Linked DNA regions of Cricetulus griseus. The protein of the gene in region 1 purifies or fractionates together with the protein of each later gene. This does not show direct contact. Links are inferred from orthologs where the notes say so. Each region holds a gene or a part of one and is shown in the gene's direction. Other genes may lie near its edges.

Region 1 (3,807 bases):
GAGGACTAGTTGATGATAGACCAGTTAATTGGGAAGGGCTTAACGCTCCTGTAACCTGTGCCATAACTGGCCTTGGTCTTAGTCTTCACTCTACCTCTTTCTAAGATTTAGATTTCAACCAGCTGGATGGTCCTGCCCGTTTTATTGTGCCCTTTGTGACCTGTGGGGACCTCAGTGCCTACGATTCCGATCGCAGTTATCCTCTGGATGTGAGTGTCCAATCATTAGGACATGGGTCAGGGAGACTGTCTCAGATGCTCAGAGCCTCATCATCTCCCTGCTCCTTGTGTCCCACAGCTAGAAGATGGCTCCGAGTACAAATATACTCCACCCACACAGCCCCCCATCTCACCCCCATACCAGGAGGCCTGCAGGTTGAAGAAGAATGGGCAGCTGGCCAAGGAGCTCCTCCCCCAAGAATGCTCCATCGGCAGAGTAGACAAGTTGCCCCAGCCTTTGATTGTACCTCAGTGTCATACCGTGCTGGCTCCCAAGGTATGGATACTCACTTCTGAGCCCACCATGATGCCTTCCCCATATGCCTGTTTCTGTCCTGACTCACATGGTTCTCTCCTGCCATGCAACAACTATAAGAATCTGACAAGTGGAAAAATGTAATCAAGTAGCTGAGTCCCTTTTCTTTTTCTTTTTCTTTTTCAGCAGGTGGAAGACACTGAAATCAATTGCTCACCTTAACACATTAAGGTAAGTTTTTCTTTTTTTTACCCCCAAAGTTCAAATAAAGGGCATCTTTGGGAAAAAGCTGAATGGGACTACAAGCTGGCTTACTGGTTTAGAGCAGGTAGTGCTCTTGCAGAGGATCAGAGTTTGGTTCCCAACACCATATCTGGCAGCTCACCTCCATGAGATTGGACGAATGTGGCCTCCCTGGGCACCTGCATTCGAAAGCACATACCCAGGACAAGGACACACAATTAAAAATAATAAAAATAGTTGGGCAAGGTGGCACTCACCTTTAATCCCAGCACTTTGGGAGGTGGAGGGGAAGCAGGCAGGTCTCTACAAGTTTGAAGCTAGCCTGGTCTGAACAGTTCCAGGCCAGCCAAGGATGCATAATGAGGCCCTGTCTTTTAAAAAGAAAGAAAAAGAAAATTCCATCCTGAGCCTTTAATCCCAGCAGAGGCAGATGGATCTCTGAGTTTGAGGCCAACCTGATCTACAAATTAAGTTCCAAGACTGTTACACAGAGAAACCCTGTCTTGAAAAACCAAGAAAGAAAAGAAAAGAAAGATCCTTCATTGGTTTGGAGTATAGCTAAGTGTATAGAATACTTGCTTAGAATGTACAAAACCGTAGGTTCAATCTCTAGCACCATCTAAAAAAACAGGCAGTGGTGGTGCACACCTTTAGTCCCAGCACTCCGGAGGCAGAGGCAGGCAGATCTCTGAATTCCAGGCCAGCCTGGTCTACAGAGTGAGTTCCAGGACAGCCTCCAAAGCTACACAGAGAAACCCTGTCTCAAAACAAAACAAAAACAACAAAAAACAAGCATAGTAGTAGTGCCTATATTCCTAGCACTCAGATGCAAAACAAGGCTCAGATATGTAGCAGGTTTGAAAACAGCCTGAGCTACATAAAAACCTGTCTCAAAAGATGAAAGCCCTCAGTAAATTTTGGCTTAAAATTTTTTAGCATTTTATTTATTGTACATAATTGCAGGCAAAACACTCATACACATAAAATAAAAATACATCTTCAAAGGGCTGAAAGTTTCAATCTTCAATACTACCAAGGAAACAAACAAAAACATATTAGGAGCTGTGTTGAGTTGGTCGAATGCACAAAGTTCTGGATTCTATCCCCAGAACCACAGAACCTGGCTGTTGTGGCCCATACCTGTAATCCTGCGGTAGGAGGTTGTTTTAGTTACTTTTTTAAAGTTTTATTTATTTATTATGTATACAGTGTTCTGCCTGCATGTTGCCTGCAGGTCAGAAGAGGGCACCAGATCTCACTACACATGTTTGTGAGCTCTCATGTGGTTTCTGGGAATTGAACTTGGGACCTCTAGAAGAGTAGCCAGTGCTTTTTTTAAAATTTATTTATTAGTTCTAATTAGGGAACAAGCTTGTTTCACATGTAAGTCCCTTCTCCCTCTCCCTCCCCTCCCCTCAACCCCATCCCTCCTCCTCCACCCCCAGCCTACCCCCACTCCATCCACCCACCACTCCCCAGGCAGGGTAGGGCCCTCAACGGGGGCTCTGCAAAGTCCACCAAATCTTCCTGTGCTGGTCCTGGGCCCTTCCCCATGTGTCCAGGGCCAGAGTGTAACCCTTCACGTGGGATGGGCTCTCAAAGTCCCTTCTTACACCAGGGAAAAATACTAATCCACCACCAGAGGCTCCCTGGAGTGCAGAGGCCTCCTTATTGACATCCATGTTCTGGGGTCTGGATCAGTCTTATACTGGCCTCCCCGACAGCATCTGGGGTCAATGCGATCTCCCTTGTTCAGGCCAACTGTTCCTGTGGGTTTCTCCAACCTGGTACAGACCCCTTCACTCTTCATTCCTCCCTCTCTTCAACTAAATTCCAGATTTCAGCTCAGTGTATATCTGTGGATGTCTGTCTCTGCTTCCATCAGCCACTGGATGAGGGCTCTAGGATGGCATAAAGAGAAGTCATCAATCTCATTTTAGGGGAAGGACTTTTAGGTTATCCTCTCCACCATTGCCTGGATTGTCAGATCGTGTCATCCTTGTAGGTCTCTGGAGATCTCCCTGGTTCCAGATCTCTTCTCAGACCTATAGTGGCTCCCTCTAATATGGTATCTCTCATCCTGCTCTCTTTCCTCTATTCTTCCCCCAACTCAATATTTCTGCCCCTCCATTTCCTCACCTCTACCCCTCTTCTCTTGCTCTTATTGTGCTAGCTCCCTCTCCCCTACCCTCATGCTCCCAATTAGTTCAGGAGTTCATGCCACTTCCATTCCTGGGGACCATTTATCCCTTAGAGTCCTTCATGTTTCCTAGTTTCTTTGGTGAAGAGGATTATAGGCTGGTAATCCTTTGCTCTATGTCTAAAATTCATATATGAGTGAGTACATACCATGTTTGTCTTTTTGTGACTGGGTTACCTCACTCAGGATGGTTTCTTCTAGTTCCATCCATTTGCCTGCGAATTTCAAGATTCCATTGCTTTTTTTCTGCTGAGTAGTACTCCATTGTATAAATGTACCACATTTTCTCAATCCATTCTTCAGTTGAGGGGCATCTAGGTTGCTTCCAGGTTCTGGCTATTACAAACAATGCTGCTATGAACATGGTTGAACATATGTCCTTGTTGTATGAACATGCACTATTTGGGTATATACCCAAGAGAGGAATGGCTGGATCTTGAGGTAGACTGATTCCCATTTTTCTGAGCAACCGCCATACTGATTTCCAGAGTGGTCTTACAAGTTCGCACTCCCACCAGCAATGGAGGAGTGTTCCTTTTTCTCCACATCCTCTCCAGCATAGATTGTCATTGGTATTTTTGATTTTAGCCATTCTGACAGATGTGAGGTGGTATCTCAGGGTTGTTTTGAGTTGCATTTCTCTGATGGCCAATGTTTTGAGCACTTTCTTAAGTGTCTTTCAGCCATTTCAGATTCCTCTGTTGAGAATTCTCTATTTAGTTCTGCACCCCACTTTTTAATTTCATTGTTTGGTGTTTTGGTGGCTAGCTTCTTGAGCTCCTTATATATTTTGGAAATCAGTCCTCTGTCAGATGTGGGATCGGTGAAGATCTTTTCCCATTCTGTGGGTGGTCGTTTTGTCCTACTGACTGTTTCCTTTGCCTTGCAGA
Region 2 (4,515 bases), on another chromosome or scaffold:
TAACTTACCTAAGTACACCTGTCATCTCAGCCACACAAGAAGAGTGGCTCTGTGGGGGTAAAGGGCTAGAAATGTCTTGGCCCTCCTAACCTGACCCTGTGGCCCCTGAGTAACCCTGCCCACAAGTGGGAATATCCTCAGTTGGGGATCCGCTCAGCAGCCCCTCCCCTCCGCCTTACAGTTACATGACGGTGCTGTTTTATTTGAACAACGTCACCGGTGGGGGCGAGACTGTCTTCCCTGTAGCAGACAACAGGACCTATGATGAAATGGTAAGGGCCAATGGGCTATTACTTCTGTGGGTTGGCAGGGCCTTGGGCAAGTGCACACACACCCTTCCAGACCTGGGGTGAGGGCACATGTCTGTTTTCCCTCTAGCCAACTTTGGCTGCCTGACTGTACAGAGGCAGGCAGTCCACAAACATCAACTCCTTGTTGCCCACAGAGTCTAATTCAGGATGATGTTGATCTCCGAGACACTCGAAGGCACTGTGACAAGGGGAACCTTCGTGTCAAGCCCCAGCAAGGAACTGCAGTCTTTTGGTACAACTACCTGCCTGATGGGCAAGGTGAGGGCTTCTCTGAGGGAACTTATCTCTCCCTTCTGCCACCTGAGGGCTGTTTCTGTCTGCTCTCCAAATAGCCTTCTGCCATAACCAGTGATTTCATTAGGCCACAGCGCAGCCTCTTGGGGTATCTCCATCCATTGCCCTCACGCATCAGCCTTTCTGTACTCTGGGGCTAGGGAAATACTCTCAACAACCCAGGCCGGGAAGAGCTATGGAGTGGCTGGCTCAGCAACAAGGAAGCCGGGCAGAGGGCCAGTGTATTGGCCATGCCTTAGTGGGTGAGATGCCGAGTCCTTCCATGGGGATTAGGAGTTTCCACAGCTCAGGAGGGTCCAGCCTAGGGTTCCCTCCCACGTGTCCCTTTGTTCATGCCACCTTCGTCCCCTAGGTTGGGTGGGTGAAGTGGACGACTACTCCTTGCATGGCGGCTGCCTGGTCACCCGTGGCACCAAGTGGATCGCTAACAACTGGATCAATGTGGACCCCAGCCGGGCACGGCAAGCTTTGTTCCAGCAGGAGATGGCTCGTCTGGCGCGTGAAGGCGGCTCCGACCCGCAGCCCGAATGGGCCTTGGACAGGGCCTACAGTGATGCCCGCGTGGAGCTCTGACGCGAGGCCAAGATGCAAGTCACTGCCCATCGTCAAAGACCCTGCAGGTCCTCTGTTGTACTGCAGACTAAAGATCTGGCCGATCTTGCCCTGCCCCTTCCCGCCTGCAGCCGCGATGAGGGGCGCAGTTGTTCCTACGTTCACGTTATTTACTGGTGTACAGCGGCCTCCATGCTGCTCCATCAAATAAAACGACAGGGCTTCGAGCCGGGTGCAGGCCAGCTCCGCGCCGCCTGGGGGAGGGGAGGCCCGCCGCTCTCCCCGCCAGCTTCCCGGGGGGCGGGGGCGGGGCGGGGGGCGGGGCGGCTCCCTTGCTGGGCCAATCGCCAGCCGGATCGCGTGGGGCCGAGGGTCGTCATTGGACGTCCGCGGCCGGGCGCCGGGGCTCCGCTACCTGTAGCTAGGGGATCGGGAGCTCGGCGACGCGGCTCTCAGACGGCTGGTTCTCGCGAGAACGCCGCTCTCTTCTCGGCTGTGGCGGCTGCGGCAGCTTGACGAACGTCATGGACGCTGTCGGGGACTTCGTCTGGCCGCAGGCGACCTCGGAGCTCATACTCCTCCCGGTCACGGGTCTGGAGTGCGTTGGGGACCGGCTGCTGGCGGGTGAGGAGGCTTGGCCCGCTCTCGTCGTGCTGGCGGGCGAAGACGTAGCCGGTCCCCCGGGGCGGTGGCGTCGGGACAAAGGATGCCCCGGGACGGGGACGGGCAGCGGGCTGGGCCCTGGCCGTGGGATGAGGCCGGTTGGGAGGTGGCGGGAACGCGGGCCAGCCCGAGGGGGGCGGGGCTCGGGAGACAGGGCTGAGGCCGTCGTGGCAGCTCCTCCTCAGCTGCAGCCGGCGTGGGGAGGGCGTGGGGAGGGCGGGTGGGGTGCCGTCGCTCCCTACGGGGGGGGGGGGAGGGCATTGCACTCCTGAAGGAATCAGATGAGGTAGAGAACGACGGCCCCAGGGGGCGTGGCACGAGGTTGGCCTCTGGGGAGGGTGAGGCTCCGCCCCCAAAGATGAGGGGCCTGAAGGAGGGTATGGTCGCCAAAAATTGAGTCTGAGACTTCTCCGAGTAGAGCAGTATTGGGAGGGGCCGGGCTCAGGTCCCTCCTGCAACGGTTGGGGCTCTAGGCCAGCCGGGTCAGTAATCACATGACCCAGTGTCTGGTGGTAAAGAACCTAACTCGAAGCCACTAGCCTTGGTGATGGTGGCGGCGGGGGATTCATAAAGCTCCCTAGCACTGACTACTATGCCTCTGGTCAGCCATCGTCAGCCCAACAAGGTTGTGTCGAGGGTATAATGGAGAGTTGATAAGCGGAGGGTGGGGGGAGTGTGTGGGTGCAAATATTGGTTTGCTCCAGTGAGGTGGGGCCAGCAAACTCTTCTGGAAGTGAAATCTGTAGAAGCTGGAGAAAGAGAAGATATGGAGCATTAAGAGAGGAGTAATGTTGCGGCCTCTGGGTTTGGGCTGGGGTGGGCAGTGGCTGGGGATGTTTGCTGGGATGCGGATGAGATAGCGGGAAATGGCTGCAGCGTGGCCAAAAGGAAGCTGCCAGGCCAATTCTGGGAATGTCTGTTGATCTGGGTCTGTGGGCTCTAACACAAAAGGGGTGTAAGAGATTGCCCAGGAAGTGTGAGTTTGTATAGAGGGAGGCACTGGACAAGCCTCTGAGCGTAAGTTAGGAGTGTGGGTAACACAGTAGATGCTGTCTAGGTTTAACCCTCTCAGACCTTGGAGTTGCAGACAGCTGTGAGCTGCCATGTGGGTGCTGGGAATTGAACTCGAGGCCACCAGAAGAGCAGTGCTCTTAACTGCTGAGCCGTCTCTCTTGCTAACTGTACCTCATTCTACCTTCCAAGGGTTCTCTGCTGTCTGGTGCTGTTGAGGCCTTCTAAGCCTGAGTCTCACACAAGGGTTCACCGCTGTCTAGTGGTGAGGCCAGAGCTCCCCTGCCTGTGAGGTGTGGGCTGCTCCTGCCTCCACTCCTGCCAGTGCCTCTGAATATGCACAGGGTTATCGGTTGAGGAGGGAGGGTTGCTGGTTATAGGCTTAAGGTGTGGAAAGGTTGACACAGCCTTTTCCCTGAGGGAGGGAGAGTCATGTAGAGACAGATGAAGCTGAGAATTTGGGGAATAGAGCAGAGTTGGCTTTCCCATCTGAAATGTAACAATGATGGGAGAATTCCTAGTGAATATACGTAAAGGGTGATGGATAGCCAGGCACAATGGCACCGTGCTATAATCTCAGCAGCTGGGAGGCTGAGACAAGAGGATTTTGAATTCAAAGTCAACTTGGGCTGTGTGGGAGAACCTCACCACAAAAACAAGTACCTGAGAAACACATACATTTGAAGTAGAAGTCTCGCTGAAGCTGAGGTCAGGACGTCCTAGGTTTAGTAGGATTTTGTGTCCTTGATATATTAAGTTATATGTTAACAAGTGCTGTGCTCCCATCTTGTCATGGACCACAGCGTTAGGGGAGTGGCTCTGATGTGGCTTTCTACCTCTGTCTAGGTGAGGGGCCTGACTTACTGGTGTACAACTTGGACTTTGGTGGGCATCTCCAGATGGTGAAGCGAGTACAGAACCTGCTTGGCCACTTTCTTATCCATGGTTTCCGAGTGCGACCAGAGCCCAAAGGAGACCTTGACTCTGAGGCCATGATAGCTGTGTTTGGGAGTAAGGGACTCAGAATTGTCAAAATTAGCTGGGGTCAAAGCCATCTTCGAGAGCTCTGGCGCTCTGGCCTGTGGAACATGTCCGACTGGATCTGGGATGTACGTTGGCTTGAAGGCAACATAGCCTTGGCCTTGGGCCACAACTCAGTGGTGCTGTATGACCCTGTGATAGGGTGCATGCTACAGGACGTACCCTGCACAGACAGGTGCACCCTCTCCTCAGCCTGCCTGATTGGAGACACTTGGAAGGAACTGACCATAGTGGCAGGGGCCGTTTCCAACCAGCTCCTGGTCTGGTATCCAGCAACTGCTTTGACAGACAACAAACCTGTGGCACCTGACCGTCGGGTTAGTGGACACGTGGGTGTCATCTTCAGCATGTCATACCTGGAAAGCAAGGGCCTGCTGGCAACTGCTTCAGAAGACCGAAGTGTCCGTATCTGGAAGGTGGGCGACCTCCGGGTACCTGGGGGTCGGGTGCAGAACATTGGTCACTGCTTTGGACATAGTGCCCGTGTATGGCAGGTGAAGCTCTTAGAGAATTATCTCATTAGTGCAGGAGAGGACTGTGTCTGCTTGGTGTGGAGCCATGAAGGTGAGATCCTTCAAGCCTTTCGGGGCCACCAGGGCCGCGGTATCCGGGCCCTAGCTGCTCATGAGAGGCAAGCCTGGGT

The links.
Region 2: the proteins of Ftsj1 (region 1) and Wdr6 purify together in Homo sapiens (affinity purification with mass spectrometry; 3 studies listed by BioGRID and IntAct, with this or other methods). This does not show direct contact. The link is inferred for Cricetulus griseus from reciprocal best matches to the Homo sapiens genes FTSJ1 and WDR6.

What each region holds. Positions count from the first base shown.
Region 1 is NC_048604.1:114,721,380-114,725,186, reverse strand, and holds part of Ftsj1 (putative tRNA (cytidine(32)/guanosine(34)-2'-O)-methyltransferase), read left to right. Parts: intron 1-105; coding exon 106-209; intron 210-297; coding exon 298-495; intron 496-660; coding exon 661-696; 3' UTR 697-705; intron 706-3,807. UniProt on the Homo sapiens protein: Methylates the 2'-O-ribose of nucleotides at positions 32 and 34 of the tRNA anticodon loop of substrate tRNAs. Requisite for faithful cytoplasmic translation.
Region 2 is NC_048597.1:216,752,893-216,757,407, reverse strand, and holds the start of Wdr6 (WD repeat-containing protein 6), read left to right. Parts: upstream 1-1,571; 5' UTR 1,572-1,681; coding exon 1,682-1,781; intron 1,782-3,677; coding exon 3,678-4,515. Other genes in the region: P4htm (transmembrane prolyl 4-hydroxylase), read left to right, coding at 182-272, 446-569, 958-1,178. UniProt on the Homo sapiens protein: Together with methyltransferase FTSJ1, methylates the 2'-O-ribose of nucleotides at position 34 of the tRNA anticodon loop of substrate tRNAs. Required for the correct positioning of the substrate tRNA for methylation.